4 linked regions of the Cricetulus griseus genome follow. The protein of the gene in region 1 purifies or fractionates together with the protein of each later gene. This does not show direct contact. Links are inferred from orthologs where the notes say so. Each region holds a gene or a part of one and is shown in the gene's direction. Other genes may lie near its edges.

Region 1 (3,565 bases):
CATTTTCTCAGCATTTTTCACATCTAGTAACTTAAAACATTACACTTAACTGTGATTCTGGTGACTGCTAATAATTTTGTGAGCTCAACCCCTTTTTAAAATTTTATTTATTTTTATATGTGTGGTAGTTTTGCCTGCATTTATGTTCCAGTGAGACCAGGTATTGGATCCCCTGGGATTAGAGTTGCAGAAACTGTGATCTGCTATGTTAATATGGGTCCTGGGATCAAACCTGAGTCCTCTGGAAGAACAGCCAGTGCTCTTAACTGCCGAGGCATCTTTCTGGTTTCCTCAAAACTCTTTGTAAAATGAATATTGTTCCATGACTTTCAGTCTTTTATATTTGCTGTGATTAAGGGAAAACTACATTCTAGTAAAAGTGTTTGGTATAGTTAACCCCAAAATTCTTAACCAAAATAATAAAGTTTGACTAAATTTATAGGTTGCATATAAAGTTGTAGTAATGGAGCAGAGTCATATTTAAAATACTTTTGTATTAGGCTAATTTGTCATATTCTGTCCAGTAACAAAATGGTTTCTGATGTTCAGTAAAATTTTTGAGTGCAAAAGCCATGCTTGAGGAAACATTGTTTATAATTAATGTGACAGTTATTATTTGTGTTACCTCTGTTGTGAAGTTCAAATTGAGGGATCAGAATTTAGAATATTGCATCAATTTTTTTCCAGAATGAGTTTTGACACATTGTTTTCAGTGTTCTTTTATATTGATGTGAGTGACTCTTGCATTCATTCTCGGGACTCCACAAAGCTGTCACTGTGGAGTCACTTACACTTACACTGTAGTTTCTTATACTTATGACCTCAAACTACACAATTATTCTTTTGCAGTATCCCTTTTACTATTCAACGACTGTGTGAATTGCTAACAGATCCAAGAAGAAATTATACAGGAACAGACAAATTTCTCAGAGGAGTAGAAAAGGTATGTATTCTATTACAAGAATTAAAGTGAAACCTAATAGGTCCCAGAAAAGATAATGACGAGTTGTTTCATGACTATTTACTGATAAGCAAAGGGAGAAATAAGGCCCAAAAGGTCCCAGGCAACCATTATTTTGAGGAAAGCTGCTGTTCAATTATATTTTTAAGTGTTTAATTAATTTATTATTTGCTTTTGGTTTTCTGAGACAGGGTTTCTCTGTGTATAACCCCGACTGGCCTGGAACTTGCTCTGTAGACCAGGGTGGCCTCAAACCTAGAGTTCTGCCTCTGCCTCCAGATGTTGGAATTAAAGGCATCTGCCACCACTACCTGCCTTGTTTTTTATTTTACAAATGTTTTCTTTCTTTGTTAAGCATTTTTTTTTAAAGCCCATCAGAAAGATATGAGTGTTAGCAGTATATTGTAAATGTCATTGGAATTCTGGAATTCAGAGACACCGCAACCTTGGAAACTTGAATTTTAGTGACATTGAGAAGAAAGATCCAGTTCACATTATGGGTGGCAGGGTACTGCTGCTAAAGAAAGAACATTCTGGAGAATGAAAGTAACAGTACACAAAGGTGTCATAGTGTTTAAGAGATCACAACATTAAATCAGTGCTGGAAGGAGTAATTGGATCAACTAAATTTGAACAGATGCCTAATTCTTATGTGGTAGTTGGTCCTAAAGGCATAGTTGACATTAGAAGTTTTTGTTTTGAAATCAGTTCTTTTACTCTGGGACCAGGAGTCTTAAGACCATTAACTTTGGGATTTTCAGTAGTTCTTGGGTTGATTCTTTATGTTGTCTATTTGATGAGATTCTGAAGGGCAGGGCGCTGCAGGGTTCATCAGTACTTCGGCTCAAGGTCCTTTAGTAATTGTGTTTTGGAATTTTTTGATGAATAGGCAGGATATCACCGCCTGTGTTTGCCAGCTCAGTACTGTGAATTTTACAGTGTGTGAGCCAGGGATTTTTAAAAAAAAGAAGTGCTTTCTCTGGAATTGGGGTGATAGGGCTGTAAGGGAACCTTAAAAGTGCTCTTCTGCTAACGTTTCCATAGGAGGGAGCTTTGTCTCCTTGGGTTGAGTATTGCTTTATAGATAAGGAAGGAAGTTCATTACACTTGGATTAAATATCTGAATTCAAAATAGTTTTAGAAGAGAGACTGGGATTTGGCTCACACAAGCCATCACATTTGTTGGGGAATGCCACACCAGTTCGAGGACCAGAGTTGGGATCCCTAGAACCAACATAAGTGCTGGTGGATGTGCTGACTTGCGTGTAATGAATTCCAGCTTTGAAAGGTAGTGACAGAATCCACAGAACAAACTGGCTGTCGAGCTCTGGGTTTAATTGAGAGATCTTGTCTTGTTGAATGAGGGGGAAGAATGTTCAGGTCCTCCATGTGTAAGTGCATGCATAGGAAAATGGAAAATAAATTGGACTATAGTTCTAGATACACTATACATTGTCTGAATTGTAAAAAAAAAAAAAGGCACTAGGAAAAAGAAATTAAAAAACCAATATTCTCACCTGCATTATTGCTTAGTGAGTTTTCAGGAGTCATATGCTATTTATCTGTTTTAAATTATTGGAATTGTTCTTTCTATAAGAAAAGAAAATACTTCAACCACCTCTGGTAGTGTACAAGCCTTTAATCCCAGTATTTGGAAGTCAGAGGCAAGTCCATCTCTTGAATTGGCCAGTGTGGTCTATATAGTGAGTTCCAGGCCAACCAGGGCTTTATTGCCCAGGCCAATCCTGATACCTGTGTGGTGGAGAGTATACAATATAAATGATTAAGCAAGGCATAGTTTTTTGTGGGGGGGGGGGTTGTTTTGTTTTTGACCAGTTGCTTTCAGTTGGAGTAAAAGGGTAATTCTGAGTTTCAAAGGAGTTGTTAACATTGTGTTACTGTGCTTTTCTTTCACTCATTGAGTCACCAATTTTTGTTATTTCAGAATGTGATGGTTGTTAGCTGTGTTTGTCCTTCTTCAGAGTAAGTATATTTTTTCTGCTTTTGATATTAATTACTATATTCTAATTATTTTAATATGTTGTTAAAGTATTGTACGTTTATTTTGTGTGTAACTAAACATTGTGACTAACCGTTGTAAAAATCTACCACCTGGTCCTTGAGGTGTGGAATGTTGCCAGAATGCTGTAAAAGTATTTCCAGCAGAGTGATATGATTGAGACTGGTTAATTACTATACTTTTGGCCACCTAGATGTTTTTCTAGGGGTGGCAGGTAGGTTTGGAATAAGATATTTCATGGACAAGTATTACTAGTTGTCAGGATTTCTATACCAAATTTAGGACTTGGTTCCAGGCATCTGTTCAGCCATGGCACCATTAGTATTTAGGCCACATGTATAATTCTTTGTTGTGGGTGGGTGTCCTGGAGCATGTAAGTACACACATGAGCACACATGTGAGAGAAGGAGAGGAGACTGAGTACCCTGGGACATGTGAAGAGTGGGGAAAAGAGGCTGCTACTTCATAGATCCACTAGCTTAATCTTAAGTGCCATTTATTTCTTAGACAGTTTTGTTTTTAGAGTTCTTGACTTCATCTGTCTTGCTAAATTAGATACTGAGACAATCCCTTGATACTTCTTA
Region 2 (4,147 bases), on another chromosome or scaffold:
AGCAACCAGGAAAGCGGTTTCTTAAGTCATACTAAATGCTTTATAAAACTCCTAGGAGCAGTTGACAGCTAGGAAACACTTTTTACCCACCCCACCCCGCCCCCTTTTTGCGTTTTTTTTTGTTTCCATGAGTTTGTTCTTCCGTTGACTAAACTTGGATAATAAAACCCGTCTGGTCAGTTTCACTTTCCAATTTTTACCCATAAGTGAAAGCTGTTTTGTATCAGCGGGGTGGTGAAGTGTTTAGACCCCTTTCACCTGCCAGGCGAGTTTCCTGCAAGCCCTTCTAGGAGGGACGGGCCTAACAGTATTTGAGCTTCTGATTGTTTGAGGCTGGCTCTCTATGGTAGTAATTACGGTTTTATTTTTACCTCCTGGAGTTTTGTAGGAGTCGGTGAGTGGTAATAATGGTTATACAGTTCCCTCACTTAATCGTGGCTATTTGTTTAGCATTGTGCCTGCAGTTGCTTTGGAAAATTGGCACTTGAAGTGTGTTTCAACCCCTCTGAAAAAAAACAAAAAACAAAAAACAAAAAACAAACCAGAAAAACAAAATCCGGTTTCTTGACTAGACCAATCTTCCAGTCGTAATCCTATTTTGTGTCCCGTGCAGACAGAGTTTGCAAGATGCAAAGGGTGGAGGGGGCTGCGCTTGGTTTAAACAACTGGACGAAGGGGGCTTGTTTTCTCTGCAAGATTCTTTCCCAAGCAAGGCTAACCTGTGGCTGCCGTCGTGTCGTGCCCTCCCTCCCTCCCCCCCCGGGGGGGGTCACTGCAGGGGAACTTTCTGTTCCTAGCTCCAAGCGATCCTCCGCAAGAAGCAGCCAGAGAGGTCCACGCGCGCCGGCGCCGAACGAAGGTGCCAGGCTACAGCTCGGCGGGGCTGGGAGGGTGGGGTGGACCGAGGAGCCCGGCTGCCCCTCCCACGTGTCCCGGCACCTGCAGGGCTGGCGCGGCCATGGAGTCCGCCTTTCTCCGGAAGAGGCGGCGCGGCCGTGGGCTGGGGCCTGGGACGCAGGGGCCCGGGGCGGGAGCACGTGCGCGGGAAGGCGGCGCGGACCCGAGCGTGTGAGCGTGTGTGTGCAAGCTGATCACCGCCGCCGCCGCCGCCGCCGCCGCGCGCCGGGCTGGGGTGGGGCTGGGGCTGCGGGGACGTCCCCCGCGGAGCGCGCCAGGCCTCGGCGCTGCAGTACTGCCCGAGTCCGGGCGGGGTCTCTGTTCCCTGGCGGTGCAGCTCGCGCGGCCGCGGGAAGCGCCCTCTCTTTCTCCCCGCCGCCGCGCGCGTCTGCGCCTGCCGCCCGCGCCGCGCTCTCAGCTCCCTGCTCCCCGCCGCGCGCCCGGCCCCGCCCACTCGCCGCGCGCCCGGTCCTCCGCGCCCGGCTCCCCGGCTCCTCCGCGCCCCGGCTCGCCCCGCCATGGCGGACAGCGCGAGCGAGAGTGATACCGACGCGGCGGGCGGCGGCCCGGCAGCCATGCAGTCGTCCTGCTCGGCGACCTCGGGCGGCAGCGGCGGGGGCGGCGGCGGGAAGTCGGGGGGCATTGTCATCTCGCCGTTCCGCCTGGAGGAGCTCACCAACCGCCTGGCCTCGCTGCAGCAGGAGAACAAGGTGCTCAAGATCGAGCTGGAGACCTACAAACTCAAGTGCAAGGCGCTGCAGGAGGAGAACCGCGACCTGCGCAAAGCCAGCGTGACCATCGTGAGTGCGCCCCGCCGACCGGGAGGACCCCCGAGGGCGCGCCCCCGCGAGGGGCTGCGGGCCTGCGGGCACAGGGAGTCGGCCCCGGGGTCCGCGCGTGCCCTCCCTCCCTTGGGGTGTTGGAGGTGCCTGGCGAAGACACCCCCCCACGTCTCCTCTTCGCCCGGGGTGGAGGCCCCTCAGAGGCTGAGCTGGAGGCTGGCGGCGTGGCTTGGGGGGCGGGGTGGGACTCCCTGGGTCCTGTGGTGTCTGAACGCTCCGAATCCGGGGACGCCCTCCCCCACGAGTGCTCATGAGTGGACGTAGCTGGGGGGTCTGTTTGGGGGCTGGTGGGGGAGGCGGGGTGTGTCGCTGGGCTGGGCACCCAGTTGGCAGGAGGACGGCGCTTTGCTGGATCGCCGGCGCAGGGGGAGGGAGAGAGTGGCTCGGAATCCGGGAAGTGGAGTTTTCTGGCCAGGATGGAGAGGGAAGGGCGGGCACTGGGGCTACACCAGTCCCTCGTTCGGAATCCCTGTCCTTTTGGACTGGGAGGGTGGGCGGGTACAGAGTAGAGGGGGGTGTAGCGTCTGGCACTGGCTGGGACGGGGTTGGAGCTGAAGCCAGGATGGAGGGTGGCCGCTGGGACTGCCTGGCTGAGCAAGGATGTACGTGCGTCTCCTTCATTGGTGGTGGAGTGCTTAGGAGTACTTGCCTGTGAGTCTAGGTACTTGACGGGAACATAGGCCATCTGTTCTGTTTCTACCTGGCCCCTCGAGGCTCCCTGGAAGAGGGTAAGATTAGTCTGAGATCAGCCTCCTGGTGTAGCAGAGTGGAAAGGCCCCCGTAGCGGTGATGAGGCGAAACGTAACTAGAAAAAGTACGCGTTGTGCTCTCACCTCCCATCCTTGCCAACTCCACGTCATTAACATGCAGAATCCCCCACAGACAACCCTATTCAGATCAAAACAGTTTCCCAGCCAGCAGCACGGAAGAAAATGTCAAGAAATCAAGGAGGATAAATTGCCAGAGCCGCTTGCACACAGCTGATTAGACAAAACCTTCCAATGGAGAAAAGAAATTTGGTGATGGGTCAAGGATCACATCCTGGAAACGAAAACGGGACAAATTTAAGCTGCCTTTGTGCAAAAAAAAAAAAAAAAAAAAAAAAAAAGTGAAGTGTGTGTGTTCCCTGTGCCTGGCTTTTACATGGCCTTTCTTGGTTTGTGTAGATAGCAGGTTTCCACCAAAGAGGCAGTGTGATTTGCAACCTAAATAGCAGTTGGTTTTGCAGAAAGGCATCTTGCTTGCTCTCATCCAGCCCCGTTCAGTGGAACTGGACCCATAAGCATGCCTCTCCAGGCTGCAAGTTATTGGTTCGGCCTTTTGATAGGAAAGGAGAGCGATTTGTGGAGTTGGTTTGCAAGCCTCCAGTTTTCCTTGCCTAAGAGGGGACTTGGCAGAATTGAGTTGGAGCAGAGTACATCGGTGGAGGTTGTTTAAGATTGGATGTAAATGAAAACCATTTTTAAATACGTTGTAAAAGAGAACATTAGTCTTTTCAGACCCTGAGCCTTGAAAAAGAACAGAACTTACAGGAGAGGGTACCTCTGGCCTCTTTCCTGCAGGTTGGACTGTTTAGAGGCAGGAGACACTATGAAAGGGTTATCTGTTTGACCTGTTAACCTATAAGTAGGTCTGTCACTTGTACACAGACACAGTGGCCTTGCAGGGACAAACATGTTTCTTTCTGGTGTGCAAGCCCAGAAGCCTCCTCAATACTTGCAACTGTGGGTAAGGTGGCAGCTTTGTTTCTTAACATCACTCTCAACTACAGCTAACACACAGTCAGAGCCTTGTATAAGTGTTTTGTAGTCCTAGCCAGTAATGCTCTTAAATTGTTCATGCTGACCAGTTTGCAAAGGTGGGGCAGGTCTTGTTTTTTTTTTTTTGTTTTGTTTTGTTTTGTTTTTGTTTTGTTTTTCTTAAATCACTAATGTATTCAGGGAGATTAAAGTGCACGTGCTCTACCTGAGTCCCTCATTCTTGGTAGGTGTTAGGAGCTAATAATCTTGTGCAGCAACCCCTTTTGATCTGAGGTGAAGACTGGGCATGGGGTGGGGTCCAACCTCTCCATTGGTTTATAGATGCAGAGCAGAACGACACCTGTAGAGTTTATACCAGCCTCAAGCTGTGTGTATTTCCTAATCAACCCGATTGGGAAGGCTCTGACAAGGCTGAGGTAGTTAAAGGAGGCCTCTGCTGTTTGCCACAATTGTAGTTAATTTAACTGGAAAATCAGTACCATCATCCCCTTTCTTGCTTCCGGCTCTCATTAGTTCTTCTAATTATAACATGAACTTCCATGTTCATCAACGCTAAAGGTGGCGAAGGCTGTGCTTGGACACCTTCAGGAAGATGTGTTGAACTTAACTTTTCCTTAGAGGAGTTCCCTCGGAAAAATTAGGTTTAGT
Region 3 (3,565 bases), on another chromosome or scaffold:
CCCTTGGCCTACTCGTCTGAGGACTACGTGAGGCGGCGGGAGCAACACCTGCACAAACAGAAGCAGAAGCGCATTTCAGCCCAGCGTAGACAGATCAATGAGGTGAGGCTGCAGCAGTGGCTGGTGCCAGCTTAGAGCAGAGGTGGGATGGATGGGAGGAGTCTTCAATTTGCCAAGTGATGATGTAACACAGCCGGCTGTTTATAGACAGAGCCAGGTCAGATAGGCCTCTGTGGAACAGGAACAAGAGCAGGAAGCTTTCGGTAGCTTAGAACACCCGGCTCCTCCTCCTCTCTCCTGCAGTACTCTGTGAGGGCCCCGTGGGGAGAATGGTATGGTGATGACTGCCTCTGGGTGTATTTGTGTGTGTGTTAGGGCTGGTGCCCAGCTGCTTCTTGGGACAAAGTACTGCAAGTGCCTCAGCTTTAGTAGTGACTTCTGAATAAGGAGCTGCAGGGTGTAGAGTCCCACTAAGAGTCTGTCACGTGTGGACTGGCCTGCTAACCTTTCAAGATCACCTCTTAGTCGCAGGCTAAATGTGACTCTCCTTGTATCCCCACAGGACAATGAGCGCTGGGAGACTAACCGAATGCTCACCAGTGGGGTGGTCCATCGGCTGGAGGTGGACGAGGACTTTGAGGAGGACAATGCAGCCAAGGTGCATCTGATGGTGCACAACCTGGTGCCTCCTTTTCTGGATGGACGCATCGTCTTCACCAAGCAGGTAGGGCTTCTGTGCCAGAGACTTGGACGTTAGAAAGCATTGAGGGGGAGAGAGGGTTGGAAGAAGGGGTTGGTACAGTCACGTGTCCATTTGAGGGGTCGGGACTCCTTTACTGGGGCCCATCCATGTACAGCAGGGCCTCTGGTTGACTTCAGTGACCAGTGGGAAATTTTTTTTTTCCTTCCCTACTTCCTGCAGCCAGAGCCTGTAATCCCAGTGAAGGATGCCACCTCGGACCTGGCCATTATTGCTCGGAAAGGCAGCCAGACAGTTCGCAAGCACAGGGAACAAAAGGAGCGGAGAAAGGTTGGTATCTTGCCACCCGGGCTGAGGTCCTTGTGTTTCTTTTCTTACTCCTGTTAAAAATCTCAATATGGCATATAGACTCCCACTGGCAGTCAGAGGGTGTACTTGCATGGATCAAGAAGCAGCCCAAGGAGAGTACTGCGTTCTACTCAGTCCTTAGTTAAGGCAACTATAAGGCCTGGTGCCGGGTGTTGGAGGCTTGAGATGTGTGGCTTGGTGCTACCGTTGCCTTGTGGGAGTTTACTGCCTGCCAGATGAAGCCTGCTCTCCACCAGAATTGTTTCCCCTGCCTATAGTCTTGTCAGCGGATGAATCAATTTCACTCGTGTTGTCTTCTTCAGGCTCAGCACAAACACTGGGAACTGGCAGGGACCAAACTAGGAGACATAATGGGTGTCAAAAAAGAGGAAGAGCCAGATAAATCTGTGACAGAAGATGGGAAAGTGGACTACAGGTGGGTAGTGTTGACAAGTCTTCTGATCCCTTCCTTCAAGTCTCTTGTCTACTGACTTTAGATTTCCTTGGGCTTCTTTCCATTGTCACCCCTGTTGCTACAGTGATGGCTGTGTAGACTGAGACTCAGGGAGGTTAAGGAATTTGCTTGAGGGCACCCAGCTAGGAAATGGTGATTTAGTTTAGCACCAGACAGTCCTGTGGGGAGCCCCTGCTCTTTGAGCTCTTCCATGTGGGAAGACAGGATTTCTTTCCTTGGTTGGATTTCAGTACCTTATAGTAAGGAGGAACTGGTTTTCACAGGGCTTTTTCAATACAAGGGACTCTGTTTTGGTAGTAACGTCTCTGTTCATAGAGGTTTTATGCAGCTGTTGAGTCACTGCTTTGTGGAGTCCCTGCATTGGGTAGGCACTAGACTCAAATGTCCCTTCTACTTCTCCTAGTGGTTCTTTGTACCTCTGTGTGAAGTGTCCCAAATAAGAAGTTGGTATTACTGGTCAGGCCTTGCTGGTCTCTGGGTCATTTCGTCCCTTCCGTTTCAGTTGGTAGGTGACCAGGAGGACTGAGTGAAATTAGAAATAGAAACTTGAAGGAGCTTGGGCAGATCTGGGGGAGGAAAGGGCTCTTGGGGAAGGTGGGTAGAAGGGTCTTGGGACATGACCATGTATCAGACACTGATTGCTTATACAGAAATAAGGCAAACGTAAGTGAGCTGTTCTTTGAAAATGAGACCTTTACACTGTGCAGCCCTATCAAGGGGAGAGAGGAATTCTGATCTATGTCCTGTATAGCTAGCACCTGGAAGACCTCTGTGGCTTCGTAAAGTGTGGTGCTGAAATTGCCTAAATTTCTGTCTAAATTAGTGACCTGCTGGCTAATTTCAGTTCCTCTTCTGGCCACCTTTTGTTTAGGACAGGCAATCTGCCCACTGGAGAGTCTGCTCTCTGATCCCTGTCAGCTGTTTGATCAGGGCTCTGGACTGTGTGTGATGGATGGATGATGGAGTGGTCTGCTAGCACCGTAGGCCCACTGAGATGCAGTCTTGGATGGCCAGGCTGCTTTGGTGTCTATGAGGTTGATTGCTTCTTGTCACAGTTGTTCACATTCTTAGGAGCAAGAGGAGGGCAGCTAACTTACTCCTGAGGGACAGTGTGGGGAGGTCATCCATGCTGTCGTGTTTCCCAGGACAGAGCAGAAGTTTGCGGATCACATGAAGGAGAAGAGTGAGGCCAGCAGTGAGTTTGCAAAGAAGAAGTCGATCCTGGAGCAGAGGCAGTACCTGCCCATCTTTGCAGTACAGCAGGAGCTTCTCACCATCATCAGGTAACGTCCCCAGACCCTGTGTTCCAGTGTGGGACATCTAATGGGGAAGGAAAATATTATTTTTCCCTAGTGGATTGGCTTAGGCTATGCTGCATGAAGTAAGATGACATTACTTCCTTTAGTGCTTCAGGTTTACCTTGGCTGAGTCCCAGACTTTTCGTGTGGTGGCTTCTTAAAGAGGCTGGTTTTGCATGCTTCTCTAGTCAAGCATGCTTCTTGGAGAGCTAGGCTTTACTAGAGGCAGCAAGGCTTCTTAAGGCTTCTAGGGGGCGTTTTCTAAGATTGCTTTTCCATTCAGGCTGCTCAGTGCATTGCTCCTCTTCCTTGTAGAGACAACAGCATTGTGATCGTGGTTGGGGAGACAGGGAGCGGCAAGACCACTCAGCTGACCCAGTACTTGCATGAAGATGGTTATACAGACTATGGGATGATTGGGTGCACCCAGCCCCGGCGTGTGGCTGCCATGTCAGTGGCCAAGAGAGTCAGTGAAGAGATGGGGGGAAACCTTGGTGAAGAGGTGAGTGGCCATGAGGTCTGAGCTTTTTCCTGACAGCTTCTGCCATTTTGCTGGAGGCTGTGGTCTGCTTAAGCTGGACTCCATCTGTGGGGTTTAACAATGGGTAATGGTCACTTTCTGAGCTGTGTCTCTGACCCCCAGGTGGGTTATGCCATTCGCTTTGAAGACTGCACTTCTGAAAACACCTTAATCAAATACATGACTGATGGGATCCTGCTCCGTGAGTCCCTCAGGGAGGCTGA
Region 4 (3,565 bases), on another chromosome or scaffold:
GTGAATGGCAGTGTATGCCTTTAATAAGATGTTTTATGTTGTGTGTGTATTAGTAGGGTATTTTATATTACATATCTGATGTGTAATTTGGTGTGCATATGAATACTGCTAATATATACTCTAAACTCATCCTTTTTTGTTTTGGTATTTGAGGACGGAGGGTGAACACTCCAAAGAAGTTCTTAAACCATATGATTGGACCTATACAACAGATTATAAAGGAACGTTACTTGGAGAATCTCTTAAGTTAAAGGTAAATTTGAACTTTTTGCTTTTATGAATCATTAGTTTTTTATAATCTCAGCACTAGATCTTTTAGTTATGTTATTATTTTTTCCCACTGCTTTTATCCTGCTTAGTTTGATTGTGGCAGGCTTTAGAACCTAATATGAAGGGATTTAGTTTTATTAATGTATCTATTAGTGGAAAATAAAAGAAAGATATAGCCAGTTCCCCTTTTGTTTGCTTGAGATGGAGTCTCAGGAGTCTGGCATTGAACTTTTAGGCTCAGGTACTCCTGCCTTGGCCTCCTGAGTATCTGGAAGTATAGGTATGTACCTGTACTTGCCTAGGAACGATGTTCTTTAAAACCTTACTTTGCCTTGGTGTTAGCAGTGTCATAGGCAAGCATCTGTCCTTGGTAATGCATTATTAGGTGATATAGATAGAAATGGCTAGCTAGTAGCTTAGAGTTTTACACATGAACAACAGAACTGTTGAACAGAAAATTTATATCCTGCTTGCACTGAGTATGAATCTGGTATTTTAGTTAAGTTACTTTTTCCTTTCCTTCTGGATGACCTGGAGCCTTTCCATGTAGTCCAGTTTTGCCTTGAACTCAAGAGATCGATTGCCTGCCTCTGCCACCCCGGTACTGGGATCAAAGTTGTGCACTACCACACCTGGCCCTTTAGGTGACTTATTTAATCCAGACACCTTGTTACTAGTAAATTGAGAAAATGGAAATGCTTGCCCGTGGAAGAATTTTTATATGAATAGTTCACAAGCGGGTTCTAATTACATTTTAGCATGTTGTGTTAGTGTTGATTGATCTGCATCTGTGTAGTCAGGACACAGAACATGGAATTGGAAGGTCTCTATTAACTACATTTTAAGCTCTGATAGTGAGACTGAAGTGAAACAAGTGAGGCTTAGGTTGTATGTCTGTCAGGCGTAAGGACAAAGTTGTTCTAGTGTAAACTATCTTCCTTACCCTTTAGGGCTGGTGAGATGGCTCAGTGGATAGTCACTTGCTGCCAAGCTTGATGACTGTGCCTGATCCCTGGGACTCATATGGTGGCAAGAGAGAACCAGCTCCTACAAGTTGTCCTCTGACTGCCACACATGCTCATAACACACACACTAAATGTTATTGGAGGCTATATCATAAGTTGATGGTTAGCTGGACATGTGAGGGTATGTGTGAAATCCTTGTCTCCTTGCCTATGTAAATTTTTTTTTAGTTTAGTTTCAGGAGATAGAAATTAAATCTTTGGTGGTGGTGGTGGGGTTCTTTTTTCTTTTTCTTTGTTTTTCAAGGTGAGTTCATCTACTTAGCCCTGGCCATCCTGGAACTCTCTGTAGACCAGGCTGGCCTCAAATTGATAGAGATCTGACTGGGTTTTCATCTCAAGTGCTAAGATTAAAAGGTGTGTGCCACCACACCGGCTGAAACTAATTCTTAGTTTCTCCTCCAAACTTTTCTATGTGTGCTTCCAGTACACAAACAAAACTTTTGAGAAAATAGACATTTGCTCATTTATTCATTTCATCAGACATATCTTAAACTTCTTCTGTGTGCCATTGCATAGTCCAGTGAGAGTATGGTGATTTTCTTATTCTCTTGACAACTTTACAGACTGTAGTCTGTCATCACTTCTGATTGAAGTTTGCAGAGAGCTGAGGTCATTTGATATTTTGTTGCCAGGAATGAAGAAATTGAAGTTTTATGATACCTCATGCAATAGTGATGATGGTTGTTTAATGGATTCACTTAGGAAAAGCTGCATTAGCTGTAAGTATAGCATTTGGAGCAAGAACCAAGGCAATAGAGATGGAGACTGATAGGAGAAGATAAAACTATGCGCTTGGTATTCTTCCAATATTTTCACCTATAATATAATTTCTTCTAAAGTGTTGCTGATAAATGTCAGTGTGATCTCCCATTCTGGTAGTGATAGTGGTGTACTTAGGCTTTGTCAGAATATGGGCTTTGCTTCAAATCAGCTTGACAAAGCAATTTGCTCTCTCTCTCTCTCTCTCTCTCTCTCTCTCTCTCTCTCTCTCTCGTGTGTGTGTGTGTGTGTGTGGGTGAGTGTGTGTGTGTGTGTGTGTGTGTGTGTGTGTGTGTTGGGAGTTTACATATGCCACAGTGTGTGTAGGTTAGGACATCCTTGGGTGTGGGTTCTTGTCTTCCATCTTACTTGAACATGGTTTCTGTTTTTTGCTGATGTGTGTACTAGGCTCTATTTCCCGCAAGCTTCTGGGGATTCTCCTGTCTTCACCCTAGGAGCACCAGTATTACAGACATGAACTATTATATCTGGCTTTATGTAGATTTTGGGGATTCAAAGTCAGGCTTTGCCCATTGAGTCATCTCCTCACAGTTTGATCTTTTGCAAAGCCTTATTTTGATAAATGGACAATACCAATTGTGAGGCAGATCCCACATGTAAAATATTTAATGCAGTGTCTGTTACATAGTGAAGACCTCAATAGATGGTCTCAAATAGTAGGTGACTGTTGGAATACTAGGCATGACTAGGCTTTATGTCTGAAGTTGATGAATGTGGTTTTTTGGTGTTTTAATGGAGTGACTGAGGCTGTGGAGATGGCTCAACAGTGAAGAGCACTTACTACTCTGCAGAGGACCAGGTTCAGTTCCCAGCACCCATATGGTGGCTCACAACCATCTGTAACTCTAGTTCAAAAGATCTGATATCCTCTTCTGACACCAGTGGGCACCAGGAATGCACATGGTGTTCATGCATACATGCATGCCAAACACTCATACATATAAGGTAAATACATCTTTGGGGGAAAAAAAAAAACAGACTTTTTAAGTTAAAGGTTTTCAGATAAATTATTATAATTTTGGTCTTTAGTGCTCAAAATAACCTTGTAGGTAGGTCCAGTATCCTCATTTTGTAGATGAAGTATTGGGTTCACAAATTTAAACTATGATTTTGGATAACACACTGCCCGTAACTTACTGTTTTGCACATTTGGTATATGTGAAGTTCCTAAAGAATCAATTAAAATATGTTTTAAAAAATTGGGGTAATTGACTATTAACATAGTGTCATCGTGTGTGGTCTACCTAACAACATTAATGCTTTAAGAAAACAAACAAAAAACAATTTGTAAGTATATATAGTTGAGAAGGGTTAACTATGTTAGCATTGTTGTGTAACCAGTCTCCCCATTGCTGACCTTGTGTTCAGGAACCTCCACACCTAGCTTTTTATGTGGTTTTCTGGGGTTTGAACACAGGTTGTCATGCTTTTGCTTCAGGCACTATATTTCCCAGCACCTAAGGTAGGTGCCATTTTAACAGAAAGAAATA

What was found.
Region 2: the proteins of Ppp4r2 (region 1) and Ccdc6 purify together in Homo sapiens (co-immunoprecipitation; 3 studies listed by BioGRID and IntAct, counting the BioPlex papers as one, with this or other methods). This does not show direct contact. The link is inferred for Cricetulus griseus from reciprocal best matches to the Homo sapiens genes PPP4R2 and CCDC6.
Region 3: the proteins of Ppp4r2 (region 1) and Dhx38 purify together in Homo sapiens (affinity purification with mass spectrometry; 3 studies listed by BioGRID and IntAct, counting the BioPlex papers as one, with this or other methods). This does not show direct contact. The link is inferred for Cricetulus griseus from reciprocal best matches to the Homo sapiens genes PPP4R2 and DHX38.
Region 4: the proteins of Ppp4r2 (region 1) and Tiprl purify together in Homo sapiens (affinity purification with mass spectrometry; 5 studies listed by BioGRID and IntAct, counting the BioPlex papers as one, with this or other methods). This does not show direct contact. The link is inferred for Cricetulus griseus from reciprocal best matches to the Homo sapiens genes PPP4R2 and TIPRL.

Annotation. Positions count from the first base shown.
Region 1 is NC_048601.1:43,113,234-43,116,798, reverse strand, and holds part of Ppp4r2 (serine/threonine-protein phosphatase 4 regulatory subunit 2), read left to right. Parts: intron 1-849; coding exon 850-943; intron 944-2,906; coding exon 2,907-2,944; intron 2,945-3,565. UniProt on the Homo sapiens protein: Regulatory subunit of serine/threonine-protein phosphatase 4 (PP4). May regulate the activity of PPP4C at centrosomal microtubule organizing centers.
Region 2 is NW_023276806.1:267,588,038-267,592,184, reverse strand, and holds the start of Ccdc6 (coiled-coil domain-containing protein 6), read left to right. Parts: upstream 1-1,306; 5' UTR 1,307-1,415; coding exon 1,416-1,697; intron 1,698-4,147.
Region 3 is NC_048596.1:185,926,307-185,929,871, reverse strand, and holds part of Dhx38 (pre-mRNA-splicing factor ATP-dependent RNA helicase PRP16), read left to right. Parts: coding exon 1-102; intron 103-562; coding exon 563-724; intron 725-922; coding exon 923-1,030; intron 1,031-1,371; coding exon 1,372-1,484; intron 1,485-2,668; coding exon 2,669-2,806; intron 2,807-3,136; coding exon 3,137-3,323; intron 3,324-3,464; coding exon 3,465-3,565. UniProt on the Homo sapiens protein: Probable ATP-binding RNA helicase. Involved in pre-mRNA splicing as component of the spliceosome.
Region 4 is NC_048598.1:27,172,544-27,176,108, forward strand, and holds part of Tiprl (TIP41-like protein), read left to right. Parts: intron 1-153; coding exon 154-253; intron 254-3,565. UniProt on the Homo sapiens protein: May be a allosteric regulator of serine/threonine-protein phosphatase 2A (PP2A). Isoform 1 inhibits catalytic activity of the PP2A(D) core complex in vitro. The PP2A(C):TIPRL complex does not show phosphatase activity.